Caenorhabditis elegans: one gene and its partner. The protein of the gene in region 1 interacts with the protein of each later gene in a biochemical or structural test. Each region holds a gene or a part of one and is shown on either strand. Other genes may lie near its edges.

The links.
Region 2: of the proteins of rap-1 (region 1) and rgef-1, one has a biochemical effect on the other in vitro, tested with the Caenorhabditis elegans proteins (one study listed by BioGRID).

Annotation. Positions count from the first base shown.
Region 1 is NC_003282.8:8,912,073-8,926,793, reverse strand, and holds rap-1 (Ras-related protein Rap-1), read left to right. Parts: upstream 1-7,903; 5' UTR 7,904-8,019; coding exon 8,020-8,076; intron 8,077-8,125; coding exon 8,126-8,194; intron 8,195-8,596; coding exon 8,597-8,653; intron 8,654-8,702; coding exon 8,703-8,843; intron 8,844-8,891; coding exon 8,892-9,032; intron 9,033-9,807; coding exon 9,808-9,909; 3' UTR 9,910-10,544; downstream 10,545-14,721. Other genes in the region: cfim-2 (RRM domain-containing protein), read right to left, coding at 1-5, 50-202, 253-316, 369-454; D1046.2 (C2H2-type domain-containing protein), read left to right, coding at 735-806, 848-987, 1,036-1,165, 1,210-1,385, 1,435-1,552, 1,595-1,885, 1,942-2,226; D1046.16 (uncharacterized protein), read right to left, coding at 3,894-3,914, 4,309-4,644; C27B7.9 (INSulin related), read left to right, coding at 10,716-10,775, 10,828-10,941, 11,125-11,223; Ig-like and fibronectin type-III domain-containing protein C27B7.7, read right to left, coding at 11,558-11,702, 12,164-12,279, 12,330-12,440, 12,929-13,054, 13,207-13,476, 13,591-13,763, 14,028-14,315, 14,425-14,617 and 1 more. UniProt on the Caenorhabditis elegans protein: Required in the hypodermis for proper formation of the cuticle.
Region 2 is NC_003283.11:9,549,072-9,567,004, reverse strand, and holds rgef-1 (Ras guanyl-releasing protein 3), read left to right. Parts: upstream 1-5,333; 5' UTR 5,334-5,396; coding exon 5,397-5,478; intron 5,479-5,529; coding exon 5,530-5,645; intron 5,646-5,835; coding exon 5,836-6,011; intron 6,012-6,060; coding exon 6,061-6,115; intron 6,116-6,997; coding exon 6,998-7,090; intron 7,091-7,148; coding exon 7,149-7,229; intron 7,230-7,483; coding exon 7,484-7,794; intron 7,795-7,861; coding exon 7,862-8,120; intron 8,121-8,467; coding exon 8,468-9,012; intron 9,013-9,283; coding exon 9,284-9,415; intron 9,416-10,174; coding exon 10,175-10,289; 3' UTR 10,290-10,978; downstream 10,979-17,933. Other genes in the region: F25B3.4 (Serine/threonine-protein phosphatase), read left to right, coding at 274-685, 734-1,081, 1,321-1,377; ehbp-1 (EH domain-binding protein 1), read right to left, coding at 11,260-11,377, 11,635-11,948, 11,997-12,152, 12,267-12,386, 13,009-13,070, 13,164-13,223, 13,302-13,379, 13,480-13,645 and 6 more; nstp-10 (GDP-fucose transporter), read left to right, coding at 17,169-17,195.

The DNA of each region.
Region 1 (14,721 bases):
GCTTTCTGGACAAAATTTATTGAAGACATTCAGTTTTACAGTCACTTACCAATAAATCAGCATCTGTAGTATACCAGAGAAGGTTTCCCACGTAGCAGCAATATTTTCTTCCTTCCGAAGACGTCGCTGGTTTTGCACCAATTCCAGCAGTTGGAGCAGTCACAGTGGTGATTGTTGGTGAAACAGGTTTTGCTGATTCCGTCTAAAATAAAGAATTATAAGGATTTAATAAGAATTCATTAGAAAACTCACTGAATTTGTGGGTGCAATCGCTTCATCGTACAGATCGTCAATATCTTCTTCCTTGAGCTCTTTTCTGGATCAAAAAATAAATTTTTAGCATTTTCTTTTTTCATTAAAGTATTTACCCATCCAGCAACGCATTCTCGTCTATGGGACCATCATGTTGTTCGTTACCGTCACCTAACAACGCTGCTTCGTCCAATTCAGCCATCAATCCTCAAACAAACAACGGTTACATGAATTTTAAGAGAGAAAATTAAAAAGTCAAAATTCAATTGTCTTCTAACAGAATAAGTGAACAATTATTTAATTAATCGATAAAATCAAAAAATATTTATTAACGCAACATGGGTGGGGCGTGCACGCTAAACAACAAGCGTGTCTGTTCAACGGAGTGTCGTTTGCAAATGTCGATTTACGAAAAAAAAAATTGATTTTGAAAAACATTTTTTTAAAAATATTTTTGAAGTTAAGCTTTTACAGTTTTCATCATGAATGACGGATATAAGCAAAACGATATAGTAAATCATGAAGCTTATGAAGAACTTGAAGTCGCAGAAGAGGTAACTCATTCTCCCATTTCAAATTAAATATTTATTTTCAGCAAATAATTTACTGTCAGGAGGAGTACAACGATGGTCCGGGTACTATGGTTCAAGTTCAAGAACAGACAGATGTGCCATGTTATGTTATGGAAGGAACTTATTTTACACCTGAAAATATATATGCTGCTAATCAAGACCAGTAAGTAAATCAATTAGCCGAATCCGCAAAGATTTGAAAATTTTGCAGTTCGGTGTGTCATTTCTGTAAAGAAGATCTCACAAATAAACGATTTTACAATCATTTATTTGATCATCATGGCTTCACGAAGCAGCAATGTGAAATGATGAAACAGCAAAAACGACTCGGGAGACCAAATGTATATTTCAATTATCTAAATTTGAAAATCAAGTTAATTTTCAGCCGAAGCGAAAATCGTTGCATTCTTGTGAAAATTGTGGAATGGAGTTTATCACAAAGACAGGATTAACGAGCCATTTAAAAAAAGATAATAGCCCGTGTGCGCGTGTTGACGAAATGGCTGTTGGAGGATCGTCTGTGAGCAATATCGTTTGTCCAAGTTATGGATGTGATAAAAAGTATTGACTTTTATAAAAAAGAAACATATTCAGTCTCTAAATATTTTAGTGTTCCTACATATTTGGATCTGGCGATTCACGTCGACACCGAACATCGAGATCTTTCGAGGGCAACTGATTCATTCCGAATTCGAAGAGTGACTTTCCAAGATAAAGCTGGATTTATGGTATGTATTATTTGATTATTTGCAACTATTTAACATTTTCAGAAGTGGAAAAAGCAAATGGAAAAATCGACGAATTCGGAGTTTTTCCTTAGGACTTCGCAAAAAGTATCATTTGCTATTCGGACAATGCTCTATAAATGCCTGTTTTCAAATTCTCGAGGGCAATCGAAAGGCAGAAGATGTGAGCAGTGTCCTGCATTTATTAAATGTTGTATGAGAAATCATGGGCAATACGAAGTTGTCGCCTGTTTCGGGCATCTTGGACATGAACACCCAACTGAAACCGAGATTGCTAGACAGATGAGAATCGAGAAATATCGAGAGATTGACGCAGTGAGTTTTCATTTTATAAAAAGTACGAGATTACTTATACCAGTATCAATTTTCAGCTTCAAGTACGAGAATCTCGAATGCATAATCAACATCACATGAATGTTCGCCCAAAGCAAATAATTGTTGATCAATACGGACACCCTACTCACCCAAACGATGAAATGATGATTCTGATGCCGGTAGGAGAAGAAGTCGTTGAAGAAGATGCATTCACAAGCGTCGTAGTAGATGACGCTGATGATGAGATAGTAGGGCCACGTGCTCAACAGGAAACACCAGCTTTAACAAGACAAGTCTATATTCCAACTTCAAATCATCACGCGAGCTCTTCTCATTACTAGACAATGATACCTGTTATAGTTTCTTTTTGATTGTAAAAAACAGTTAATTATATCAAGAATTTCTCCATTTCCTAAACAAATTTCATACTTAAATTGTCGATTGTGATTAAAGGTTCAGGTTCTCACGAATAGGAAATTCCTCCATTTTTCTGTTCTCTACACTCCTTTATATCGTCGTTTTTTTCTATTCATCGGGTCCAATGTAGGTTTTCAATCTCCGTCTGCCCACCAGATGTTCAAAATGTGTTTCTGCTTCCTGAGATTCTTCACATTTATTCTGTTGTAATTGTTCTGTTTCAAATATTTTTTTTTTTGAAATCTACAGGTTTTAATTTTTAAATGTTGATTTAATTTTTATCTAAGAGTTACAACAAAAATATTAACTCGAATGAAATTTTTTATATTTGACCAAATTTTTTAATACCGATATTTAGGAGTTCATCCACATATTATTGATTTTAAAAATACTCGAGCAAAAGCCTTTTGAGAAACAGTGCAATTTTTTTCTACTCAATGACGCGGTTCTCTCTCTCATCATATTTTCTTGTTATCTCATTTCCACAACCCATCTTTCTTTTTCGGACAGTAGTTATTGTGTGCATGTGTTCTCCATGTTCAAATCGTCGGCTGTTCTGTGTTCTAATCTTCAAAAATGTCGTCGCCGCTCCTTTGTTTGTCGAGCCAGCCCAACCGCCACCGAGCAATAATGCGTGTGTTCGAGTGAGCATGCTCATGCAAAACGGCTCTCTCCGCTTTTCCGTCATTTTTTCAGTGTCACCTTGTTGGCAGAGATTCATGAGACATTTTCATTTTTTGAAACCAACGTGGAAATTGGATGCGGGGGCAGCCGGTTTAGAAAATTCATTAAAATAATTTTTACTGGTTCTAATTTTTCATTTAATTGGGAATTCAGATATAAAAATTATTTTAATTTCTGATTTAAAAAAAATTTTCAACTACAGTAACTGCTGCATCGAAAAGTACTACTGCTGGCGCATTCGGCGTGAGTTGGCGCGTTTGCCGATTGTTTTCATTTTGAAATTAGTTTTTTCCTCGAAATATTTTTTTCTCTTTAAAAAATGCAGTTTTCCCATGATTATTTCTAAAAAGAATTGCTCATTTTCCCTTCTCACAAATTCTGTTCGCATTTGATAGGCATTTCTCACGGAATGGCACGAAATTTCGCCGGAATTACCATCGTGCGCTCTTATTTTTATGTGTTAGCCCTCGGCTTTTCCCTTTTTCCGATATTTTCTATTTTTGTTAGTCTGAACTTGATAATATTAACTTTTTCTATTTATTTTTGGCACTTTTCACGTTTTGAGGATTAATCCCAAAAGGAAACTCCAACACGCATCCCCGGTCTCCATAAATAGCATCGAGGATTTAGCCAAAAATGTCAGATTGACACGTGCGTTTTCTGTAGACTAGAATGTCAAAATTGAGTTCTTAATCTCTGGTGCAAATTTCTTTATCTTTGTTGTAAATGCTGAGCCTATTTGCCAGTTATTCTTTTTCAAAGCCAGAAGAAAACGTTTAGGATTTGTTACGAAGTAGATGAGAAATATGACAAAGTAGATGCTTGTGTGCGCGAAATGTTTGCATCCAGTAGTAGCCCGTCGGACCTGTCACTTTCATCGGTCATTTTGAAAAGTAATTGGCTGTTTCTATTTCTCCTGTTCTTGTGTCTGAAATGTTTTGAAAAAAATCAGCAATCTTTTTTGTACTTCTCATTTCTCAGTTTTCATTAGAAGTTAGAATAAGAAACGTTTTCCAATTTTGGCAAAGTTAAAATTATGTGAAGACACCGGTTCAAAATCTTCACTTTTTTCTCCATGATAATGAAAATTTAGAAAGCTTTGAGCATGGGATAACTTATGACCGTGTCAAGAATTTTCCTGAACTTAATTCCCCATTTTCTTTGTTGGCAGAAAATAATTATGCAAATGGATGTTTTCTTAATACATAATAAATTTATGTGAACTATGTGAACACATTGTTGCCCTTTTCTGTGATATTTCTAATATTTTCTTCTATAAAAGAATGTCGGCATAAGAAAGAAAAGAAAATCGAAACTAAAACCTTCAAAACATTGACGACCGGAAAAGGAAGAATAAGTGAACAGCAGAGATGAACAATTACAATTTCGCCTCCCATTCTTTGACATCGTTCATCTCTCCGTCGCAAAATAATTATTTTCCCTCTACTTCTCCTGCCCGTTCCACTCATAAAATGCACTTTGAATCGGAGTAAATTAACCCGTTTTCGTTCATTTTTAGCCAGACGCAGACTATCCGAAGACGTCCTTCTTCGTACCGTCCGTCTTCCCCCACTTTGTTCATTTTCCAAAAATCGATCGATTATCGTCCGAATTCGAACCGAACGTGCGTGTCGTTCTGCACGACGCCTGATTCTCATATTCTTTTGCACTATCTCGCTACTGAACTGTCGTTACCTCTCACATCTCTCACACCCTCTCTGTTTGGACACTGTCTCTCATTAGTCAGTAGGGGTCTCCCGTCCGCGTCGAATCGTATTTGATACTGGTCTCGAAAACCAACATTACCACGCATCGGAGGCGACTAGTCTCCCACCTTTTCGATTTCGATTTTAATTCTTTCTCACCTCGCTTTGTTTTCCAAGAAAAATCGGTTTTGAAATTTGAATCGTTTAATTTTTTAAACTCAACATTTTGTAAGTTGCTTTAAAGATCTCATTTAATAGTATGGATGTTAAATATCTTCCTCTTTTTACATGTACCCTTTTTATTTCACTCTCATTTTATTTTTTCTGAAAGTGAATATTAACTTTCGTACGAGTGATGTTAAAATTTAATTGCTGACTCACTGTTTCAGTGTTAATAGTTAATATTATCAAAAAAATTTCCTTAAAAATCCCAATTATAAGTGATCGTTTATCAACACTTCCTTATTTTACTGAAATTAGTAAATTTTTCCAACACAATTAATCACTGTGTAAACACATTTAAAACTTCGCAGCATTTAAATTGGATATTAGGCATTATAAGTCATAGATTCCTATTGAAATCACTGTGAGATTGGTTTTTGTTCTTTTCAGATTTCTCGTGCCAAGAAGAATAAGCCAAAAACCTCTAAATCTCCCCCTATAAGAAAAGAATGAGTCAATCCACCTCATTTCCTCCTCCACCACCCTCTTTTTTTTCTTTCATCTTTCTCATTTCATCATCATCATCCGCCCATGATCCTTTAATGAGAGAACTAATTGGATGAAAAGTTGTTGTTCGAAGCAACCAAATTATGGGATTATCAGTGACAACGAGAATGTTTACGAAAACGGTGGGCTCGCTGAGTGAAGAGAATAAAAGGAAATGCCCGAAAAGATTAGTTGAAGAGATTTTCAGATTTTTTAGAATTTATCTGCCAAACGTTGATTTCCGCATTATGCTGCCTAGTTGCACTTTTATCAAATATGAATTAAAGCTAAAGCTTCACATTTGAATGAGTGGTTCCATTCAAAATATTGAACGCTATGCTATGTTCAAAGTTTTGTTTGGATTCTATTCCTATAATTTAAATATGCACACACGCACTAATAGATGTAGTTTCGAAACGAGTTGTCTTTTGACCATTTATATTTTCTTTCATAGCTTTACAAGTCTTTTTTCTTCTTATTCTGATTCAAAAATTTTGAACTCTGGGATTTCAATTCTCAATCATTAGTTTTCGGGTTTTTAACTCCACAATTTTCAATATTTCTATCACTTTCTCGAACCACTTTGAATAAATTTGCTCCGAAAAATTGAAAAAAATACGGACCGAAAATTCTACTTGGTGGTTTCCGAGTGACAATGATTGGGCATCATGTTGAACAGTTTCAAAGTGATAATCCAAAAGTATCACTCTCTTTCTCTACCTTCACTGTTTCATATAATATCTCGTAGCTTCTGATGACCCGCACTTGGGGGCCCACTGCATCCCGTTTTCCTGGCTTTTTCTCTCTATCTCTATGTCTCTCTATTCGTTCCAACGCTTCTTTCTCGTTTTGTTCCATCTCTTCACACTCACACATACACATATTATCATCTATATGTGCTGAAGAAAAAGAAAAAGAAAGTGTGGATGATATGATTATACTAATCACTCTTCTCTTTCTTTCTTCTTTTCGTCGCCTCGCCGGCTAACGGCCGCTCATGAGGTTATTGTTGCCACCTTGAAGCTTTTGTTTTTTTTTAATCTTGGATGCACAAATATCAAATTTGTATTAACAATATTTTTTATTGAGAGCCAGCGTATTCCCATTAGAAGGCCGCTAGTGTCATACAAGTTCTCTAGATTTATAATTATATTGATAAGGTTTTTTTTTAAAACTTTATTGCACTCGATACATACATAAATTCATGTTGTCATCATTTTTCTAAATAATCCATCATCAATTTTTTTTTCAACGTACTCGTTGGACTAGACATCCGTCTAAAAATAGCGTGACAAGCTCGACAACAAGAAATAATGAGCACATTTGTCTGATAGTGATGCTTAGAGCATATTTTTCACTTCGATTGATCTGAAAACCTATATTTATATTAATTTTTATGACTTTGCAAATTTCGAATAAATTTAAATTTTGAATAGGGTACTGTAGTTTTCCCAGTCTCTATGTTTCACGAAAATACATTTTTCTAATAGAAATATGTAATGTTGTCTAGAAATTTTCTAGGCATTTTGCAATCAGATCAACACCGATAACCAAATTTTTAAAATTGAATAAAAAATTTAAAATCCCAAATATCACCTATTTTATCTACGCTTATCGAAAGGTTGTTATACTTTTCTTGTGTGATCTGCATTTAAAGTCAAAAACTAAATATTCTCTCTTTTTTCTTTGTTTTCTAGTAGAATTGAATTAATTTTTGCAATTGAATAATTATAAATATATATATATAAGAATTCTCTTTTTCTGTCATTTTTTAAACCGCCCGTCTGTATCGAAATCCTCATAAATATATATAGGTCATGTGAAAGTTTAATCCAATCGATTTGAGTGGGAGGAAAAATAGAGATTGAAAATAAAATAAAATCCAATTTTTATCGAAAAAAATAATTTATTATTTTCTGTTATCATTTGTACATTCTTCGGGGAACATATCATTGTATTTCTTTATTTCCGTTTCTTAAACCTTCCATTCCTTTCCATTTTTTTTTAGTTTTTACGATCCAGCACATAAATATTCTCCGTTCGAAACCCATTTGTGGTTGAGAGCCTTCTTCGTTCTGCAAACACTGAAAAATGAGTCATAGTCGAAAAATATTAACGGCGACGACGACACCCGCTTTTGTTTTGTTTTCAGTTTTGTTGTCTGCTGTTTTCGATTTTAAAATTACGTTTTTCTGACGTTTCGAAAGATTTAGGTGGAATTTTTATCAAACTTATTCAATTTGTTTTCCCTCACTGTAAAATTCGAAGCTATTTTCTGAATCTCCATTTTCAACTAATTTCGTAATTCCAAAATTACACCAGCTGTACAATTTTTTAATGTAAAATGTGTCATCTGGTCTGTACTTGGTGCCAACCTCGGATAACAGGTGTTCTGTGAAGTGAACTCAGAAAGAAAGACTGTGTCGTTCATCTTTTTCGTCTTTTAAAAATTCTTTGAAACTTGTTATTTCAATAGTTCTATTTTAAAATTTTTTATTTTCAGTACATCCCTCTCTCCACGTTCACTCATCCAAGCATTTCGAAGACACCATCACGGGTCGTCGATTGCAGGGAATACTCCAAGCATCAACAACACCATAACAGATCTTCAAAAAAAGAATGCGGGAGTATAAGATTGTTGTGCTCGGATCTGGAGGAGTAGGAAAATCCGCACTGGTATAGATGAGAGTGACCGGAAATCTATAGTTTTTGTATATATTTTCAGACGGTACAATTCGTGCAGGGAATTTTCGTAGAGAAGTATGACCCAACAATTGAGGATAGTTACAGAAAGGTAAGAATTGATTTTTAAAGCTTCTGATATTACGCAAATACGAAATTTTACGGCAAAAAATACGGCACCTAGTCTCGACACGACAATTTTTGTTAAATTCGAAAAGGTGCGCGTCTTTAAAGTACTGTAGTTTAAAACTCGTTTTTGGAAGGGTTTATATCGATTTTCCATTGTTTATCGATGAAACACTTAGTGGGCAAAACTCAAATATTACAATAAACCACTTAAATGTTGTCAATTTTTCCTGACGAGAGTTTTTAGTTACAGTACTCCTTAAAGGCGCACACCCTTTTGCTTTCCACGAAAATGTATCATATCGAGACCGGATTCCGTATTTTTGGCGCAAAGTGGGCAATATAATACCAACAAATTTGAATTTTTATATCAATTTCGTGTTTTCAGCAAGTGGAAGTCGACGGCCAGCAATGTATGCTTGAGATACTGGATACAGCAGGAACGGTAAGTTAATTTCACTTTCACTTTTTTAGTTTAAAATTTAAAAATTCAGGAGCAATTCACAGCGATGCGTGATTTGTACATGAAGAATGGACAAGGATTTGTTCTCGTTTATTCAATTACTGCTCAATCGACATTCAATGATCTTATGGATCTTCGTGATCAGATTCTTCGTGTCAAAGATACGGACGAGGTTGGTCTTGATTTAAAAAAAGGAAATAATCAAATTATTTATTTTAAGGTTCCAATGATTTTGGTAGGAAATAAGTGTGATTTGGAAGACGAACGAGTTGTTGGAAAAGATCAGGGACAGAATCTCGCCAGGCAGTTTGGATCAGCATTCCTTGAAACCTCTGCAAAAGCAAAGATTAACGTCAGCGAGGTGAGTATCAAAACCTTTTGAAATTTCTATATTTTTCTCAATGAAAAGGAGGCTAACAATTTAAAAAAAATCCGAATATCACAGTTAAACACTTAAAAAAATATTTTCACACAGTTTTTTGAAACTCACAGTGAAATTTTTGATAACAATTTAAAAATTGGCAAAATTAATTTTTTTTAGTAAAATGGATTGTAATGCTGCCACAAATTTTTTAACCCCGAAACTCAAAATCGACAAAAAATGTTGTTTGAATTTTGTACAAAAAACATTGAATTTCTCCGAAAGTACAAAAATTCCACCTTTTTCTTTCTGGCGACTAAAAATTATAGTTTTTGAAAGACTGTTTTTTTTGTTTTCTGGTACGTAAAAAAAATAAAAGTAAAAGAAAACCAAAATACACAATTTTGCAAAAAGAGAGCCTTGAAACAATTTTGTCATGCTCGAACCCGTGCAATATTCAAAAACAATTAATTCAAATATAAAAAAAGGGAATATTTTTTTAGCCGACTATAATATAACGATATAACGACGAATAAGGTGGAAATGAGCAATTAACACTTTTCGGTTGAAAAAATAATTATAATGGGTTATCCAACTGGGTGAAAAATTAATTGTTTATGCTCTGGATAACCCCATAACATTTGGCTATTTTAGCACAATAGCATTTATTTTAAAACAATAATCCCCAGCGATACTGAAAATTTAATGCAAAAATTTTTTAAATGTGTAGTTAATGGAATTTCAAGTAAAAATAGCAAAATAATTTATATTTCAGGTGTTCTACGACCTCGTTCGTCAAATAAACCGACGTTATCCCGAATCTGGTCGACGCCAGGGACAATCAAATAAGCAGTGCTGCTCGTGTGTCATCATGTGATTATCTTTATCTACAAAATTTGAAAATATATTTATTCATCTTCTCATCATCAATTTTTCCCCATAACTTCCTTTTACAAGGTACTCGCCGTTCTTTTTCTCCGTTGAATCAATCATCAAAATCATAATAACCATTCGCTTCTGGTTCATCTGGACATTTCCATTTAATTACTAGTAGTTTCTTTTGTTTCATTCATTTCCATTTCCACTCGAAAGTATTACCTGTTTTATAACCCACACACAAAACTCTTAGCTTCTAATGACATCATCAACATCATCATTCTTCCTAATTTTGCATGAAAACCCCGTTTAACCAGTGTGCCTTCTCAATTGAAGTTTCCAGTTATTTACATTCAAAAAACATAATATCCCACGAAAACGCCGTCGAAAATTCCAATTTTTTGAAACATTTTGTCCCCCAAATGAGGCATATCTTTGATCCTCCAACATCATTTCTCGTTTTATTTTAATTAATTTATATTTATTTTTGTTCAATTTTACAAATTTTTACACTAAAAATGTTCCACTCGACCCAACATTAACTTATTCTATTCTATTCCAATCTTCCCTCTCCCCCCATCCATCTCCCCAACCTTCATCATTCTTGCTTTGAATTAATAAATTTGATCAATGAAACTCATGGCCATGCTTTGGGCGAATCGCATCAAAATGAAATCACAAGGAACGCCCCTCGAAAACAAGTAAAGAACTTGTTATGGGCGGTACGATAGCCCTGAAATTACCCTTTAAAGGTTCTCCGACTTTCACTGATTTTATATAGAAAAAATATTTTATTTTCTCTCCAAAATGTCTAGAACTTTCCTAATTTTCGCCCTTCTTGCCACAATTTTGGTACTCGAAGCTTATGTAAGTTTCTTTGAATTCTACTTGAAGTATTTCGAATGGGAAATATTTTCAGAAAGTCCCAACAGATACTGCCACACAATTAAAATTGAAAAAGAGAGGTCAAGCATGTATGAAACGAATTCTTCCAAAGAATGGACCATCTAAGGCACTTCAACGAGAACTTGCAGTATGTTTATTCAGTGTTTGAATTAATTAAATATTAAACAAAAAAAGGAAAATAACTTTGTAAATTCATAATTAAACATTAAATTTAAGAATAGTCTTGCTATATGATTACAAACTTTCAAGAGCTCACAGAGAGCTCTAACCTCTAACAACTAGTTTTCTTAGTCAATTAATAATTTTACAGGTTTGCTTCAAAGTTGACTGTGCAATGGGAATAATTCCCAAAGTAGAACGCCAATTTCCTCGAGAATTCCCAATTTTGAAAGGATGTATGGGATATTAATTGTTCAAATTGATTCAGTTTTTTTTATCAACTTCCTACATTTTCTCCCCATTTTTATAGTCTGACGCACAAAAATTCTGATAAACTGGTTCTTTTTTGAAATTCTTTTCACTGATCGATCACTTTTATTTTTGTTTTTCCTGTGGAGAAAGTATTGGAAAAAACAACTTTACAGTGATAAATAATATGAAATATTTATAACACAAATTGATGAACATACAAAATATTTGTTTTGTTTTAATGAAAGAACGTAATGGGCATTGAAAAGTTAAAATGAAAAAAAAAATATTTCGTAGAGTCTACCCGAAAATTAATTGTTTTTCAAAATAATTGGTTATAGTGGCGGCTCCTTGATCACTTTTCGACGGGAACCGGAAATTATTGGAGTTGGAGACGGTGAACTTATAAATTCAAGATCAATCTCTTCGGATGGAGGACTTTCACGTCCAAGCTTCATTCCAGACATTTTGATTGTATAACTGAAATTTGACAAAAGGAAGTTGAATTGTGAAACACAGTAATTTTAAGACGTAGTCTTTCTTGGCAGGGAACTCGAAAAATGATATTTAGATAAATTCAGAATAAGTTCGTAGCTTTGATCATAGTTCTGTAATCTTTCTTCTCTTCATTCTTACAAGAGCGTATTTCTAAAGGACATGAAATGTGATCAACTGATTAACATTTGTACAAAAGTCACTTTGCTGATTAATGATTTTGTGGCAAGATCAGTTTTAAAGATCTTTTTTGGAGTGTAATTTTTTAAACGAGACAATGTTTTCAATAAAATAAACCATGATCATTGGTTAAAAGTTCTAAGGAATGATTTTAAAAATCGCGAAACTGGAATTATGCCTTGTTCTACTTTGGATTGAGAGCATCTTTGAGTTGATTTTTTTTGAAACTGCCGAGTGATATATTTAAAACAAATCTTAGAATCTACCTCAACGTATGATCTAACTGAAATGGAAATTCAAATGTTGTCTTTCCACTTTCCACATCAATTTCATGTTTGACAGTCTGATTATTTCCATCTTCTCGAATATAAATATTGTACTTCTGAAACAGTACAAAAATCATTTTCAAAATATGAAGTCAATTCGACTTACTGTATAAATGGGATTTCCCACTTCGACGAACACCGTTGAATTGATAACAATTGCTGTGAAATTATCGATGACGTCATTCTCGTCAAAGGATATCAAATCGAAAGTGTATACCTGAAACATGTGAAATGAAAAAATGACGATTGGCTACCTATAGGTACAAGTATCAACTGACACAGTAATGTGAAACATCAAATTTGATGAAAAATGTGATCAGAGAGTTTTCATCAAAGAAACATCATTTCAAAGATTAACAATGACGAATATTTATTTTATTTTCAAAATATCGATGTCTACTGAAAATTTATTGGAAAATATAAAACACATTCAAAAGAAATTGTCTGGATAAATAACGGAAAAGTGACCGAGTGGTCGTTTATCTTGAAACGTATTTCATTAAATTCCAGATATACTATTCTTTTTTTGATAAATTACGGATATTTTCAAAATCAAAACCTACCCAAAAATGCTAACTTCTAGATATTTTGTTGCGTTCTTGGGGCAGGTAATTCAAGTGAAAGTTTGGTTATTGCTTGATAAAACACATTCATATTAGGACAAACTTAAATTGGAATTTAGAATTTATTTTTCAAATCTCATACCTTCGTCTCAGGACCTTCATGTCTTTGATTTGTTGCTGTCATTTTCATTTGATATCTTTCATTTTCTTCTAAACCATCATCAACACCAATTATGACATGAGTTATATTCGAGCCATAAATGAATTTCTGAAAAACTAACAGTTAGAATAAATAAAGCATTTGAAACATTTTGATTCTCAAAATAATCATGATTTGAAAAATTATTTTAGAATCAATATACCACTTCAAGATCTGGCAAATGGGAATTTCTCCAAAACAGAAACTTTTTGAATACCTACCTTCCATTCCTTATCAATACTATGTTCTTCATTTTCTGATTCATTTTCTTTTTGGATATAAATTGTATAATTTTGAATCTCTCCGTTTGGAAGTCTTGGTTCTACCCAGAAAATATAAACTTTTGAATCTTGTGCATGAAGTGAAGAAAGAATTGGAGCAGTTTTTGGGCCTCCATTTGGAGTTGGAATCCATATTGGAAATGTCTTTTCTCCTTCTCCATATTCATTTTCTGCCGATACTCGAAGTGAAATGTTGACATCGAGAGGAATCTGAAATTTCGTTTTATAAAAATTAAAAGATGAACATTTGAAACTAAGCAACTGTCAACTAGGAAAAGAAATATGAAACCAAAAAATAAAATGCAACCCAAAATAAAATCTTACATCAGGAATTTTAACAGGCGGTCCTGAAACTTTTGTTTTGTAATTCGACAGGTATAAATTGTATTCTAGTTTTTCTCCATTTGCATTCTCGATTGGATTCCAATTTATATATAAAGTTGAGTCATATTCTTCTTCAAAACTCCAACTGATATTTGTTGGAGCTTCTCCGGGTCCTGAAACATTACTAGTCTCCCATTAATTGCCACTAAATTTAGAACTGGAACAGGCTTTGAAAAATAATTTACTTTCGCGGTGATCTACGCCTGCGTCCTTCAACTGAAATGAACTCGCATAGAAAATCTATGGATGAAAAACTAATGTAAAATGAAGAAAGTAGTCCCTAGACTTAGGCAGGCAGGCATAAGGCAGGCACGCATGGATTCGTGTCTTCCTACTGTGAAAAGCTCATCAGGGAATTTCTTACACATATTACTTACTTTTGATTATAATAACTTTGCTTATCGTGACATTTTCATACTTATTGCTTGCCCTGCATGTCACTGTAACATTCCTTCTTGAATTAATCTCTGGAGCTTTTGCTTCGAACAAATCCATGTCATTTGTTTCAACTTCAACAAAGTTTTGTTCTGTTTCATTCGCAAACTGATAGAATAATTCAGGTTGTGGTTTTCCTGTTCCTTTGCATCGAATCTCAACATTTTGATTTGGTTCTGCCTCGAAATCAAGAATATTCGATGCAACTATTTCCAAGTGTATTGTCTCATCTGAAAATCTTCTTTGTTTTGTTTCAGGTAGATTTTTATAAGAGAGAACTTCAAAATATTCCATGTTTGACGAAATCTTTAATATTTCAATTTGCTCACAAAAACTCACAAAGCACATCAGAAATGCATGAAAGTACATTTGAAATGATTCCGGGCCCTCGATCAGACACAGCTTGAACACGAATAAAATGCTTAGTATGTGGTCCAAATGTTTCCACATAAGTTTCCAATTCTGCTGTTTCAAATTTATTCCAATCGGATAAATCATCATTTTCATTTTCAGAGTAATATACAATATACTTCTGTAAATTGAATTTAAAAGATAATGCAAAAGAATGACAAAGAGGTTACCATTATATCTCCATTCGGAAGTGTCGACTCTTGCCACGTCACATTTATTTGGTTA
Region 2 (17,933 bases), on another chromosome or scaffold:
CCGACTTGCGTGCCATAAAGGTCGTGATCTCAAAAGTTCTGAAGGCCTGCAGCGATGCGGATGGGAATATTTTGAAAATTCAAAACGTTCATCTGGTCAGTATTTTATGGAGAACAAAACTTGTACAAATTGATGTAATAACTCTCTCCACTAGTAAAGTTATAGAGCTGCAAACGTGTTACCATACTTTTGGCCCACCCTGTATTTTTCAAATGCTGCAAAGCCACATTTTCTGATGATTTTAAAGCTCTGAAAAATTTGTTTAATTTTCAGCAGCATATTCAATAAGCAACCAATGCTCATTGAGGTCAACTCACCAATTAACATTTGTGGTGACATTCATGGACAATTCAGTGATCTTCTTCGCCTCTTTGACAAAAACGGCTTCCCACATCGTGCGAATTATCTGTTTCTTGGTGATTATGTGGATCGTGGAAAGCATTGCCTTGAAACAATCTTGCTTCTATTCGCCTACAAAGTCATCTTTCCAAACCATTTCTTCATGTTGCGAGGCAATCACGAATGTTCACTTATCAACAGGCAATATGGATTCTACGAAGAGTGTCAGCGCCGTTACAACAAACCATCCGTATGGCATTCGTTTCAAGGTGTCTTTTCGGTTATGCCATTGACAGCTCTTGTTGGTCAGAGAATTTTGTGTATGCATGGCGGTGTTTCCAAAATGGTATCAAATTTTTACGGTTCGGTACAAATAAACTTGAACTTTTTACAGCTTCAAAACGTCAGTCAACTTCGTGCTATCAAACGTCCATTTGACAATCCTGAGCCAAATACGCTTGCAATTGACATTCTTTGGAGCGATCCAACAAACTTCCAAAAAGGATGGAACCCGAACTCTCGTGGTGTTTCGTACGTTTTTGGATCAGATGCCCTTCGCAAACTTCTCGATCGTCTTCAAATTGATCTCGTGGTTCGTGCTCATCAAGTTGTGCAAGACGGCTACGAATTCTTTGCTAATCGTCGTCTGGTTACAATCTTTTCGGCACCGTTCTACTGTGGACAGTTTGATAATGCAGCTGCAGTGATGTATGTCAATAAGAATCTTGTTTGTTCGTTTGTGGTGAGTTTTTGGGGAAATTTCAGAAGTGGTAGTTGAGACTGTTTGATCAAGTATAATTAACTCTAGATGTAAGTGCAAAAACGCAACATTGAATTCCGACCAAGAGCTAGATTCAAGATTATTCTTGTTGCATTATCTTGGTTCTTATTAACTACGATGTAGTCTTCATATACCTATTTTTGACTCTATTATCTATTCCACTCTTCTCCCAATTCAAAATTCATCTAATCTATTTTCAGGTTCTCCGTCCTAGAAAGAAAATTGCGAGACGTCGTATGATGCCAGCGGTCAACTAGTGTATGATTCCTCGAATGTATTGAACTTTTCTTCTGTCTCGAATTTCCAGTGATATAAACACATTCTCGTGATTGTTCCTTTCTCCGGTAGTAGTGCATAGATATTATTGTTTATTCAGTTCCATCCACTCACTTTTCTCTCTCTTTCATTTCATGAACTTGTTGTATGTTCTTCCCTTTCATGGATTTTGTGTGTGTGTTCTTCTTTTTGATGGTATGTTAGCTCACATACACTACTATTTTATTTTTATTCGTGATCTCTTCTCGTTTTTTCGAATAAATGTTTATGTTCTTTTCTATTCGGATTTATTAAATTAATTTGATTCGGTTATTCAAAAGTACGCTTAATTTCAAAGTGTGGCAACCAAGAAAGTCTTGTTTTTTGCTTAAACTTTTAAAGGAATTCCATTTTCAAATTGGCATCGAATGCAAAAGTCGCAACCTCCAACGTTCGATGAGAAAACTTTGTCTCATTTCGAATGAGCTCTCATCATTCAAATATTGTGCATTAAGCCCCCACACACATCGCTGCCGGAATAGATGATCCCATCGTAGTTCGATAATCTCGTGACACTCGTTTCCGATACCCCCTTATATCAGCACACATTCAGTCATCATACCACAAAATGTTGTGATAGTGATAGGCAAAACTACCGTATTTCCTCTATTAATCTTGCATGCAAGACTAATTTTCGATTAACCCGTAGGGGTGCAAGACTAATAGAGACTGCAAGACTATTAGAGGCTGAAATACTAATTTTCGTATGCTCAATAATTTTGGAAATTGGCCTATTTTTTGTAGAAACTTGATACCGTTTAAACAAGGAAAAATACACACTTTTTAATATTTCATCAATAATTTGAACGATTTTGTGATTTTAAGTTCAATTTGCCCAAAAAAAGACAATTTTTCTGACGTTACCGCAAAGTAATGCTGGTCAGGCAAAAAGAGCGGTGCAAAAATATAAGAGACTGCAATACTAATAGAGGAAATACGGTAATTGAATTTTAGTGAAACTTGCGACAGTTTTCCTCATTTTTTTGTTATTCCGGCATACGAGTGTGGCATACGAGTGAGGTCATCTTTTGTTTCTTCCGTTTCTTCATCGCTTTTGAAAAAAAATGTTGAAGAAAACTTCGTAGCCGATAGCCGGATAATGTTTGGCACGGCGTTCCAACATATATCATTGGAAATTTTTTAAGATTTTTGCGAAAAATCACATTCTTCACGATGAGAACACGTTATTGAAGGAATATAAATCAAGAATAACATATAGTTATATTTCTCTATTACTTTAACGTTAAATATGAGCAAATTTGAGCATTTTGATTGCGATGAAAAGCAGAATCGAGTCAACTGAAATCCGTTCAAAAACCTAAGCTCGGTTCGCCCGAAAGTCGATTTTTCCAATAGCCGAACAGCACTGCTTCTTTATTTTCCAGGTATTTTTGGGGTGTAAGAATTATATCTTCTTTGTTTGGGTATTTACGTTTCCGAATTCCCTTTCTTGATCTGTCGCTATTTTTCAGAAACCAGAACAGTTTATCCTTTTTCATGAGAACCTGAATAGCTCAAAAACCCGTTTAATTTCTTTTCATCATCTCATTTGAAACTTTCCTAGTCTTCTTAATGATTTCCAGGCTCCTCCTACATTTGTATCTCAAGATGCATACACTTTATTTCCGCTCCAATTCGAATCATCTACTTCTCTTTTTTCTTCAACTTTCTACTTTTTTCCATTCTTTTCTTTCAAATGTTCGACGTCTTCAAGTGACTGCTCTTCATTCTCCTCATTTTTCTCGAATTTCATTCTTGTCTCTTTTTTGCTCAAAAATGGAAAATGAAAGTGACGTGAGATTTGGACGGCGGGACACGGGGGCAGTAGAAGCAGCAAAAAGGAGAGAAAGAGGACACAAATAAGAAGAACGAATTCAAAAATAAGCGGAGAGGAGCTATTTCCGTCAATTCTACCTCCCCAATCTTCATCAATTCGGCTCAATTGAATGACGTCACAGGGAGATAAACCGTTTGGATGAGCGCCGTCCATCACTGACGCCATCCCGTTTGGGACAAGAAAAGAGAAAAAAGAGCACAAAGTTTTTGGTGACGGATCTTGTCAATCATATGAAAGTTGTTCTGATTGATTGTCAGTTTTTTTCCTACTTTTTTGGATTCTATCCACTTCTGAACTTTTGACAAGTTTCAAACTTTCTGAATCATTTTCTATGCATTTTCCTGGAATTCTTTTTATGTAAAATATGAAATAGAATGTTTTTGAATTCAAGTTCTGCTTTTTTCTTCTTTTTTGTTCTGTTCGGGCTTGGGTATGCTTTTTTTAAAAATTATTTTGCACATCGACCAATAAGTGCGCAACTTATAAAATTAATTTATTTTTGTTAATTTTTGAAATACTTGTATTGCTTTAAGTGATCTGACCTCGCCCTGAGCTTTCCACGTAGTTATCAAATACAAATCCTCCAAGGGTAACGTACCTATATTACTGATCTTTATAATAACTTTATCACCTGTCCAGTTCCAGAGGAATTCTGTTAAGCTTATAGGCACAGAAGGAGTCATTTCTGCTGGTTTTTAATGATCCAAATCTTTATTTCAAGTAAAAAACTGAACACTTGCGAATAAAACTATCAGATTAACCATTCACCAAAAATGTGTTTGAATCTAAAACTTTCTCAGTATTCCAAATATAGAAATAAATAACCACGACATTGCTAAAATCTGTCTGAATTGTGTACTCCTTACCGTGAAGTAATAATGGATATAATGAATCGTTTGAAATGAATGATCAGCACATTTTTGGTGAAAGATCACAAATAAGGAATAAGCGACGGAAAATAAAACGATTATTTCGGATCAAAAATTTGTTGAAGATCATATACACTCGAGACCAAGATTATTCTAGACAATTTTCAAATTGGCTTCTTTGTTTGCAAATCTTCATAATAATCTGTGAAGTTTGGAAATTTGAATTTTTAATCTTTTTTCATAGATTATAGTTTTTATTTCTTTGCAAAACTATATTAAAAACCGATGCATTGTTTTAGGGAAATTAATGAGCCTTTTGTTCAACACTAAAAACAATAAAATTAAAATTTTGGCTTCATCATTTGACCTTTTTTAAGTTCGAAAACTTTTCTCGTATTTCTGAACCGCCAATTTTTTCACACATCTCTAGACTTTTGGTGCCCGTTCCAGAAAGTTAAGTAATTGCTATTCTAAGAAAGTTCTCAACATTGTTTTTTAGTTCTGATTGAATTCTGATGTTCCAGGAATATATTTTAAATTTAATATTCTTTGCACTATTTCTATACTAACTAAATAATAAATAGTCTAAGTATGTTCAATGAGAACAAAAAAGCTCTATCTATATTTTTCTATCCTATTTCATTTATATCCTTTTCATTTTGAACTCACCAGCTTCTCTTCTTCTTCTTGTCCATATACTTCTTAAAAGTCTCGAACTTCTCTCTCTCACTCTCCATCAATTTCTTTATGGCTACCGCTTGCGCTCTGCCGCTTCCGAAGAAAGAAGGCGTTGGCAGAGCTCTCAATTCTATTTTTTCTCGCCGTAGGCTATCGATTTCTCAGCTTCTCTTCTCTCTTCCTCACTCCACCACCACCACTTCGGGCTTCTTCTTTTCTTCATTTTCGTCTTCTTCTTCATCCTCTTCTTTTTTTTTCAGTTCCCCCTCACTCCTCCCCTTATATGCGCGTGCGAGAGGGGTGCAAAAGCAGCGCGCATCCGAGAATTGAAACGAGAAAACGGAGACGCAGCAGCAGTTCGTCCTCAGAAAAATAGCCAGTAAAAAGAGAAAAAGATAGAGAGAGACCTATCGCATTTTATTTTCAAATTGCAATTCCTGCAATTCATGTGTGCGTGTGCCCATTTTCAATTCTTCCCGTTATTTTTCAGACCATTACCAACGTTCTTTCTAGATCTTGAGACAATCTTCCTTCTGCTCAATCGTTCGTCGTGAAGACGGCATCGACGACGACGACGATGAGCAGTAAAGTTGAAGAAGATCAACATCAAGAACTTCTCACAGAAGATCAACTTGTGGCAAGATGTGTTGAATGCTTTGGTAGGAATAAAAAGTGAAACCCTATTAACACCACAGGTGGTAATTTTATAGATGTCGACGAGGAGGATGAGGTTGAAGATATTGAATTTGTTGACGCCTTGTTTTTAAGTCATCAATGGTTGAGTGATAGTTTATCACTTATTACACATTTCGTGAACTTCTATCAGGTAATTTAAAAGTTGTGATCTGTAGTATTAATTGAATTATTGCTCTTGAGTTTTATATTTCCGGCTTCACGCGCCCAGTTCAGATGTTCCTAAAACACCTGGCTGAGTGAAGCTTGCAAATTTATTTACATTTTTATTTTGAATTAAAGACTGTCACAGAAAACAAATAGTAATAATATCAAATTTTAAGGAAACTCGAAACGTCGAACAAAGAGAAGCAGTATGTCGAGCGGTATCATTTTGGATCGAAAAGTTTCCAATGCATTTCGATGCGCAACCTCAAGTCTGTGCACAAGTTGTTCGATTGAAAACGATAGCAGAAGATATAAATGAAAATATTCGAAATGGTCTAGATGTCAGTGCATTGTAAGTACTTTCAATTTACAAAAAAATAAATAAGTTGAAACAAACTCAGACCGTCATTTGCGTGGCTTCGAGCAGTTTCAGTTAGAAATCCATTGGCTAAACAGGTAAGTTTTTTTGTTGTAGAGTGAAGGCTTCGAGGAATTGCGAGCTATGGTGTTGATGTGTGGAGAGAAATTTCAATTTGGTTTCAATTAGTTTGCATTATATTTTTAAGTTCATATTGCTGTTTTGTCTGAATCAGATCATGTGAACTTTTTGAACTATTTCATACTATTGCGGATTAGCAAAGTAATCTTTTTGATTAACGGATAAAAAGATTAGATAAATGAATCATACAAAACCCTGAAATAAAAAGTACGCACCCAACTTGCTCCTCGATTCAATGAGTAAGCAAGCATTTAAGAATTCCTCAGGAAGTGGTATACTGGGAAAGTTTCTCAAAAAGTTTTCATTGAAAAGAGATGAACTCGCCATTAGAAGAAAAATTAGTTTGAGAGATTTTTGATAAGTTTCCAATGTTGTCAAGATGCACAATTTTATTGAGTTTAAATTTCTCTTTTTTAGTCGACCTATATTTATAATGTGCATAGCCTGCATAAAAAGAGTCAACTTAAAAAAAACACATAAATCCAGCAGAGTTTATACACTGTGTGAATTTCCACGACATGATTACATATAATTGCAGAATTGTCGATAATTTCGAAGATGGTCATTCTGTCGTTTACAACATTTGATAACATTAAATTTTGAACAAAAAAAAGTTGTATCAAATATCACTCGCTGAATACCTCGTTTTGCTTTTTGTCTGTATCTGATTTGAGAAAAATAGCCTTGAGTTTCAGACAATAGTTCGAGTTGATTTCGAGACTTTGCCCACTCCGGGAACCCCTCCACCATTTCCCATTGCCTCGAAAAAATTCTCACTAGTACATTTATCAACTTCTTTGAATATTCATGAATTTTTTCTAACATCAATTAATTTTCAGACTGCCTTCTCTCTTTCATTTGTCCAAGCATCCCCTAGCGATATTTCGACGTCACTTTCTCATATCGACTATCGCGTTTTGTCCAGAATTTCGGTGAGAATAATATAAATTAGAACAACAAAATGATGAATTGTGGTTACCTTTATTTCAGATAACTGAGCTCAAGCAATATGTGAAAGATGGACATCTAAGATCATGTCCAATGTTGGAAAGAAGTATTTCAGTATTTAATGTGAGTAAATATTATTGAAGAAAATTGAGCATTTTTTAATTAGAAGCTTTAATGGATTGGTTGCTTCGTTTATGATCAAATAGCGGCCAGGACCAAATATAGACAGATCTTTGAGCCTTCTAAGAAACTAGTAATTTTCACTTTTTTGTATTCTAACAGTGGCTTAACAAGCACTTAAATAACACGTTTTGGGTGTAGGTTCTTGGTTCTTGATTTTTTTCTCGAAATCACACAAAAAACAATAATTAATTCAGAATCTTTCCAATTGGGTACAGTGCATGATCCTTAACAAGACAACACCAAAAGAACGAGCAGAGATCCTTGTGAAGTTTGTTCATGTAGCAAAGCATCTACGAAAGATCAATAATTTTAACACTTTGATGTCCGTTGTTGGTGGAATAACTCATTCATCAGTGGCTCGACTTGCCAAAACATATGCAGTTCTGTCAAACGATATCAAAAAAGAACTGACTCAGTTGACAAATCTTTTATCTGCTCAACACAATTTCTGCGAGTATCGAAAAGCATTAGGAGCGTGTAACAAAAAGTTCCGGATACCTATAATGTGAGTTTGAAGTGTTTAATTTTCTAAAAGTTCAATAATTCAATATTTATATGTTTCAACTTTTCAGCGGTGTACATCTCAAAGACCTAGTCGCAATCAATTGTTCGGGTGCAAATTTTGAGAAAACAAAATGCATCAGTAGTGATAAATTGGTGAAACTTTCCAAACTGCTTTCAAATTTTCTGGTTTTCAATCAAAAAGGACATAATCTTCCCGAAATGAATATGGATTTGATAAACACATTGAAAGTGTCTTTGGACATTCGGTACAACGATGATGATATTTACGAGCTGTCGTTGAGACGGGAACCAAAAACTTTTATGAATGTAAGTATATTTTAAAGTACCATGGTATCTGATGGCAACTTTCTTGGAAACTTTTCAAAAACTCTATAATTTAATTTGCAAAATTTCCTGTATAGAGGCGTTCGATAAATGTGAACTTTTTCCAGAAAATTTTTGACAAAATCAAAGATTCCTGTTTGCAGGAAAAGTAACGGTTTTCGGTTTTGCTTTATTAGACCCCTGAAAACCGGATTTCGAAATGATACTCAAAATTATAAAATACAGTCTTATGTGGCTAGCCTGAAATGTATTTGGTCAAATAATTGCGACTACCCCTTTAAAGAATACTTGTCAACGAACTAACTTTTTTTAATTGTTCTTTTTTTTAGTTCGAACCATCTCGTGGACTCGTATTCGCTGAGTGGGCCTCTGGAGTTACAGTTGCACCTGATAATGCAACAGTTTCAAAACATATCAGTGCAATGGTGGACGCAGTATTCAAACACTATGATCATGATAGAGATGGATTCATTTCTCAAGAAGAATTTCAGTTGATTGCTGGAAATTTCCCTTTTATTGACGCATTTGTGAACATAGATGTTGATATGGATGGACAGATATCAAAAGATGAATTGAAGACCTATTTTATGGCTGCAAACAAGAATACAAAAGATTTACGAAGAGGATTCAAGCACAATTTCCATGAAACTACATTCTTAACTCCAACGACTTGCAATCATTGCAACAAATTGTTGTGGGGGATTTTGAGACAAGGCTTCAAGTGCAAAGATTGTGGATTAGCAGTTCATAGTTGCTGTAAATCAAATGCTGTAGCCGAATGCAGAAGAAAAAGTAGCAGCAATTTAACAAGGGCTGCCGAGTGGTTCGCTTCACCACGTGGCAGTATGAGAAGTAGGATAATAAATACATGCAAGTGAGTTGGTCTCAAATTGTGAAGAATCTTCAGAAACCGGTTTTCACTGAAATACATAGATCTAGATTAGTTTTGATATGATTGATCTCGCACGTTTTTTGAACTCTTCAGAAGCATGTAGCACGTTTGAACGGGAAGAAATATTTGAGAATTATATGTTTCTAAAAGTCTAAAGTTTCATTTTTTCTACTCTTGGTAATTTCCGTAGACTATATAATTCCTAGTTATAAATAATCGGTCGTAGTATGTAACCTCTAATCAGATTCATTAGAAGATCGTCTCGGCCTCGTACTGTATCTGCAGTTGTCACATCTCCAACAACAGAGAAGCCGACATGTTCTACGAAACTCAGTCCTCCAAAACTGAAAGATATTCGACCACAATCGGAAAGTACTGAATATTAGTAAGTTATTATAGTGGCTAATTAGTTTTTAAGTATCTTCCTAAATTTATCAAAAGTTAAATGCTTTTCCAACCAAAAACTTAATCTTTTCAAAACTAAAAAAAACCTAGTCAACAGTGTATCACAATAATGCGATAATTCATATGTAACAAACACTTTAATTGTGACATGCTTTAATATTTATTTTGAACAGAGCTCTATATTCACGGTTTCCTGAATGTATTTCTTGCAGTAATTATATTGTAGTCTACCGTAATTCTCACGTGGACTACGGTAGGATCACATACCGTATGTCCCCTAATAAACTTGCATCATCACTCTACTTTGACAGCTTATATCTCTTATGTCTCAATTTTAATCAAATATCTATGTTTAGAACTATAGAAAAATGTTTTGGGCGTATTTTGTCAGTTGACAATTTTTTAAAACCAAAGTCAGCTGGCTGTCAAAGTAGAACAAGCGGATACTAGTCTGATAAGGAAAATACGACATGTGATTAGAAGTTTTGTGGAGCACAGGATTCACTTTTACGATACAATACTGATCCCATCAATTGGTGTCAGGCTGTCGCATTAGGAGTTGATCTACAGAAAATGCGGGAATTGTCTACCCAGAAAGATGTAACGTCAGCACGTTCTTAACCATACGAATTTAGTAATTCTCATAGATCTACGTAAATCAAGCCGAAATGGGACACTCTGACACCATGTGCCCCATCAATATTTTCAGTTGTTCATTAAACATCAATAAGAATTTCAGTAATTCCGGAAGTACACCAGATGAAGAAATTGGTCTTGTAAGCCTTGCTTGTGAAGAAGTCTTCGAAGATGATGATCTAGCAGATATTTCATCTGCGTCATACCGTACCGCCTGATTTGTCTCCATCTATCTCTTTCTCTGCACTCTCTTTATTTTTAGCAAGAATATATTACACAAACACTGAATTCTGGGAATGCGTGTTGCGCAACATATTTGACGCGCAAAATATCCCGTAGCGAAAACTACAGTAACACTTTAAATGAATACCGTAGCGCTAGTGTCGATTTACGGAAACATTTTATTAATCGATTAAATATTAAAAGAAACACAAAAATGACAAAACAATACGAAAAACTGAATATCACTGTCGCAATTCGAACATAAGTGAAAATCGATCCCGTAAATCGACACCAGCACTACAGTAGTCATTTAAAAAGTTACTGTAGTTTTCGGTCAGATATTTTGCGCGTCAAATATGTTGCGCAATACGCCTTCTCAGGATTTAGTGTTCTCGTAATATGAGAGTACAATATTAAGTTTATTCTTCTCATCTATTTTTCTTCAAATTAATGCATACGAGTATTTTTTCCTGCAAAATGCGATTCATTTTTTAACCATATCACTCAATTTCTCAAATTTATTTGTTTTTTCTTTCAGTACATTCCCTCACAATTCGAGCTTGCTTTTTCCTATCCCACTTGTTTGATCTCTACGCTAAATATTTCCACGTGTAAAGTATTTTTCACCAGTCTTCCACACACTTTCCTCTTTTTTCGAATGAATTTTTGCTGAACATCATTTAAAACTCTGAATTGATTTATTGAAAGCTGAAAGCATTTGGATTTGTGTGCACCGAGAGAAAAGAAAACTGAATACAAAAATATACACATAGAGATGAAAAGATAGAGAAAAATTTGATGTTTTGATTAACTCCTAAAAATTTGCCAAAAAAACGGGAAAGAGTGAATTATGGAAAGGAGAAAAAATGATAGAAGATAACAAAGGGACACTGGGAGAAACTTTGTTTTCAGAAAGAGAAGAAGACCCGTAGTTTTAAATTGAGTAATAAATAACGTTGAAGCGTATTAACGGCGCCACCATTGAATAAGTCGCTTCGATGCTGAAACAGGCTGATCTATTCCACGAACAAAGCGAGTAGCCCTATCCAAAGTAAGGTTCTTCAAACGATCCGAATCTTCTTCGCTGAAAATTTCGAATGTTGTTTCATTAGTTTCACTGAAAGTAGTTTATTACGTGGTGTCAGAATGTCCCATTCGGTTTGATCTACGTAGATCTACAAAAAATTCGGAAGTTGAGACGAAGAGTTCTCAACTGATTTCGCATGGTTAAGAACGTGCTGACGGCACTTTCTTAGGCGAAAAATTCCAGCATTTTTTGTAGATCAAACCGTGATGGGACAGCCTGACACCACGTGGTTCAACAAAGCAATAAACACTTACATTTCGTCCTCAGTTGCAAATAACTTTTGAACCAAGTTACTTTTTGTTTTCATAGCATCACTATATTGTTCAATCAGTTTATCCGTTGCCGTCTTATTCTCATCAGAACGAGGGAAATCATCAGGAACTTCATTGATTTGTTTTCCCAATTGGTCAATTTCCGAAGTAACCTGACGAATTGTCTCAATGATATTATAGTATTCCTGTCGATGTACAAGAGTGTTCCGTTCATTTGTCAACTCAAGATATGATGCAGTCAACATTTCTTCTTCTGAACTTCCAACTTCTGTTTCACGGATCTTGTCTTGAATAACCTGAAAACAAAACAAACTGAATTAATCCTTTAATTCTCAGAATCTTACATCGGCTTGTGCTGTAATATCCGATATACGTTCGTCAATACGAACAAGCTCATTGGCGGTTCCTTCAACGTCATCGACGTCTTTTTCCCATTGGGAAGAGAACTTTTTGGTTGGTGTCGCCAGAGCGTCTTGCGAAGATGATTCGAAATCGTTTCCCTAAAAATAATAACATTTAGACGGTAACTTTCAATTTGCACCCATGATTAAATTTTATGTTGATTAAAATAGAAGCAAAAATCATTACATTACACTTTTTACAACATCACAAACCATGTATCCGTATTGTTTCGCCATCAACTGCAACGATTCTTTCAATTCTGCACTACGCATACTCCCATATCTCTTGACACGATCAAATGTAGAAGCTGATGAAGGAGTTGATGAATCGTTCTGAAATGTGAGCAAAACACTTGTTAGGCATACTGTACAATGCGGTGTATGATAAAAAAGAAAATATAGAACAGAGAAGAACTAAAGATAATATCGACGAAAGAAAAATTATGGTTAGATAGAAATGAGGATTGCTAGTGGTATTGACAGCTAATTGACAACATTCATATTTAAAGCTTAAAATAATACTCAAATGTTTAAAATTGAAAATCAGACAACTTATTACACTGACAAAATAGTTTGCGACAAAATATACGGTAGCTGGTCTTGACGCAAGGTTTCAAGCTCTCGTATTTGTCGATATTTCATCGATTCTTCATAGTTTTTTTTTAAATTTATGTGTGTTTTATTGTTTTATTTTAGTTTTTTATAAAAAAAAAAGTTTTATCGAAAAACTATGAAAAATCTATGAAAATACCTCACCAACGAGGATTTGAAGTAACTGTATCTTTAAAGGTACACATATTTTTCCTGAATCGGTGTTGCCAATAATGCTCTATTCGGGATTAAACTGTTAACTCGGCATTTCGCGTCTTCTTTCTCCCACCTTTTTGCCGGAAGGCGAAAAGGTGGGAGAAAGTAGGCACGAAATGCCGAGAATTTAAATATATTAATGACTGACCCGATTTCCATTTGTTCTGCCACGACCAATTGCTGGCACATGAGGAGTATCATTGGGATCGTCTGTAATTAAAACAAAATTAAGATGAAATTGTTCCTAATAATGCAATTGACATGTTAAAAATCACTGCACTATGAGGAAATAATAAAATGTACATTGTTTGCGGACGAGCGTCGGAGATGGATCACGTTTCTTGAACTTGTGTACATCGAGTTCTGAAAATAAATTCACTACATGCTTTGTCACAACACTAAAACAATTAAATCGGAGCATGATCTGAAAATGTTACAAACCAATACGACGAAGATCGGTATTTGATCCATCGATACGACGGAAAGTGGGATATGGTGATGATGAAGTAGAGGGGATTGCTGAAATGGGAACACACGGTAGAAATAATTAAAACAATCACAACAAAGGAGATTACTATAGAGAATCACGACAACTTTTGTGTTTTTAAAAACTTCTCACCCGTTGGATGCTGCTTTTCGTTCAGCATCCGTCTGACCTCTTCGCGTCTTCTCTCTTCATCACTCGCTTTCCGTGAATTTGGTGTTGCTGCAGGAGTTGTTGATTTTTCAATTAAATCACGTGCTCTTTGGCGTAGTTCATCTCGCTTTGAAGGTGATGCACGATTCTGAAAGTTGTAAAGATTTTCAAAAATAAGAATCTCGTAAAATTGGATATCTATTAGGAAAAAGAATTGATTAGACTATTTCGCTGGGAACAAATGTAATTGAGTTTTATAAGGGCGAGTATTTAATAAGTTTTTTAAGTTGTGTCGCAATTTTTATCAAGCTGTTATATGGTAGTAGGAAATGTTCAGTTATGTATAACCTTATAAATTGCATTAAAAAAATAAAATAAGAAAATATACCAAGAAATCTGACGATTGAAAGAACCTGTTTTTTTCCTATAATTTCAGTTATATTATACACACAAAGTATCTTAAAAATGGTAGAATTGAAGTGAAAAAAGATTTCAATAACTATTTTAAATAATTAGCATTATTCAATTCGAAATTCAACAAAAAAACAAAAACTAAATATTTAAAATTTTAAAATTTTTTTTTTCAATAAAAACTCACCGATGCACGAATTGCTCCAACTCCTGGAGTCACCATGGTTATGCTTACATTACTTCTCTCAAAGCGCATATTTGAAGTTTCAGCATCATCGTCATCAGCGTCAGTTGGTTGATTGAGAGCCGGATTGCGACTAGCCAACTGTGGTGTAACAGGAACTTCATCAGGAATGTGTCTATAATCCACAGCTTCTTCGAGATCTTTTTGATTTCGAATTTCTGTAATCATGGCAACAACTTTTTCTTCGGATTCATTAATTCCAAATGTTCTGGATATTCTGTGATCAGAAGCACTGGCTGGTGTAGATCCCTCGTCAAATCCTTCAAAGATTCGGCGAAGATGTTGAAGAAGAAATTCTATTTGTTTCCGATCAGGAGTCAGAAACATATCAACTGTTGGTACTTCTGTTATTCCTATCAAAGTAAGTGAATCGAGGGCTCTTTGAATATTCGAAATGCGTCCAGACATATTATTAGAGATATCCAGTGTTTCGTAATCTCCAATGAGATCCGGGCGATAAGAATGAAGAACTGCACACAAGGCCAATCCGTTGTTCCAAGATTTCATAAAATCATTAACTTTTACATGCGAATATCCGTTAGTAACTCTCTGACACCATGAAAGTAAAGTCTCTCCATCGATCGGTTGAGGGACAGCATCTCTAGATGGAGCTCTCGGAGAATTTGATCTTCTGAAATTGAAAAAAAATTATGATTGTGAGAAAAGTAACCAAACAATACCCTCTACTCATTGTTCCACTTTGAAGATAATATGGTGTAGCGATTGCTGTAACTGGAACATGCCGAGAATTGGAATCCACACGGAATTCTATTGTTGTAGACGCTTTTTCTTCTGTCGAAGCACGGCTTGACCGACTATGTCTGTTGGTTGCAATTGGCGCTGGAGCTGCTGGTTGTGACGTTTTTTCTTCTTCAGCTGATACTCTCCATTGGGGACGAACTGAAATACATTCTATAAGAGCCACGGGTGTCGGTTTTTCGATTTTTCGTTTTCCGAAAAATTGAAAAAAAAAATTTCGAGTATTTATTTTGGTTTTTTTAATCCTTTTTCTTCATCAACATAAACAAATTTTGATATATCATTTTCTGGATAATTTTCGAATTTTTTTTTCGATTTTCGATGTTCCTTGAAAAAAAAATGAAAAAAATCTACAAATTTTTTGATGACCACACACGAATTTAGGCTATATGACTTTTTTCCATGAAAATATTCTAGCCAAAAATTCTAACGATTAGGTTTAAAAAACGATTTCTAATTACCTTTTGCAGGGTTTTCATTCTCTCCGGAAGGTTTTCGGTGTGCTGGAACAATAGGCGGAGCGATTTCCTTTTCCTCTTTGATCCATTCCATCATTTTTGTAGCTGTCGTGTCGATTTGTTGTCTTGCAGCTTAAAAAAACAAATTATGTGAAATAAACTGTATTTTTTCAATCAAAATACCTGCTGCTCTGGAATCATTTGCACTCGCATCAACTTCATCTGTTACTGGAACTTTTTCAACAAAAGAGGCTGCAGCTGACGAAGTAATACTAACATCATCTGCATTTACTTCCGAAATAAGAGAACTTCCAAGAAGAATAATCAGGGAACACAATTTCAAATGAGGCGTCAATGGACGGAGCTTGAGCTTCAGTTCACTTTTATGATCGGGTAGATCCAGAATAAATAAGCGAACATTGAGTGGCACTGCTGCAATTGCTTTTCTTTTTCCTTTAGCAGTTACTTCTTCAACAACAATCGTCCATTCTTTATCTTCATATTCATCACTTGCAATACGATATAATGTTGTAAGAATATCTATATTCTCTGAAAATTGCTCAGGCCACATAATCAAACATTTGTTAGCGTCCGAACATTCTTCCCATTTTCGTTCCTTTGATGATACTTTTCGTCGTCTGTAAAAATTGTATGATAAAGGTTTCATGAACAATTTTTTATTTATTTTCGATTCGTATTATTTTCTTGTGAATATTTTTCTTTTTTTTTCAAATTTCCATAATGATCATGATGCATTGTGTCTATTTTCTGATTGACATTTATTATTCTTTGATAAGAAAATGTATTCACCTATGAACGAAAGAAACTGCAAGGTTTTCTGGTTTCCATTGTTCGTCGGTGTAGAGATGTAATTCCTAAAATAATAAACAATTGAGATAAAAGTATCAAGAACGAACCTGAAGAGTAACTGTAAATCTAAATTTGGCAGCTTTCTTATTGGATCTCCGAAGTCGACGAAGAATACCCGCCATCTGCAATTTATATGTTAAAACAATGGTAATCAGGTGCGTAATGCGAAGAATTTCTTTTCGATTTGTCGTACGGAAATGGATATTTGAGGAGATGAGAAGAAAGGAAAGGCGGCGGAAACCGAGAGGAATGGGCGCAGCCGTCTTCCTCCTCCTCATTCGACAACGGCGGCGAGAAGATTTGATAAAATGAGCGAGAGGCGATAGACTAGAAGGAAAAGAGAGTGACAGAGGTAAAAAGAAAAGAGCATTTGGAGCTCCAAAGAGAAGGTCTGAAATATGTTATTTTATCCAGTGATTCACAAGAATTTGTATTATTTTAAAGAAAATGAACAATAGAAATTTAGTAAAACTGAAAGGGAGAGGAGAGAATAACAAAAACAATCTGACAGTAGAGCATCGTGTAATGTTACTAGATCGAGTTGGATTGGTCACTTGAGACCGCCGATACAAAGATTTATGGCCACTTCTTGCCATCTCTCACGCTCTCGGTAGGTTTTCGATTTAGCATTTAGTTACAAGTGCTACTTTTCGAGTGTTCGTCGTTATGTATCAGTCAGCTGCCAGCGCCCGTTACACTAACTCTGCTCAGCGCGCCGTCGAAGTTCAAGTGTTCTCCCATAAACAAAAAATGGCAGTCAGAATAAATAAGTTAATTTTTATTCTGAAAACACCATTAAGTAACGTTTTCAGAAAACATGAGGAGCTATCGAAAATGCGATATTTAATAAACGTGAGGAACATAAATGGTTTGATCGAGAACTATATGCATAACCACAGTGATTGTTTGACAAAAATTAATTTAATACGATGAAACTGCATGAAGAAAACAACAAAGTAGATATTTATTGCAACAATATATTGAAAAACCGTTTTCAAAAATTGGTCTAAAAAACACGGCCCGAGAAGTGGTATTTTTTTATGATGCATATAAAAAATTGGAGAGGTCTACACTCCAATTATCAGTAGAGCGCATTTGCATGGATGTACCACTTGCCGGGCCGTGAAAAACGTTTACGTCTTTTTGCGTCTGCATTCACAGTCACGCAAAAACGCAGACACGTTACTGTAAATAGAATATTGTGTAATTCGACGTGGCCGTGTTTGCACATTGTTATTCTGTTTGAAAACATTTTTTTTCCGAAATAATTTTTGCAGAGGGGTTTTTCTTTTATTTCTTTTATTTCCTTGGTAATTCCCTCCATAAATGCGTTTGTATTCTCACAAATTAAAAAATTAAATTATATTTTTAAAAAAGTTAAAAGCCGATTTCGATATTGATTATTTCTTAAGCAGGTAAAGAATTACTCACGATATTGTTAATTTTATTGTGAACAAACTACTTTTTCACCTTTGTTAAACTTTTACAAATGTCTCAATTAATTATAAATAATTTTTATACGAATTCAAACTCTTTAAAACCTTAGAAAGCTGAATAATCGAGCAGAAACTGCGGCAGCAATGCCCGCAATTAACTCGACAACAATGGCCTAGTTGTCGGGTGTTGCCTGTTTCTCGTCCTCTTCCATTTCTACGTTTTCCACGTTCTATGTTTGTCCTGCCTCCCGCCTTAAC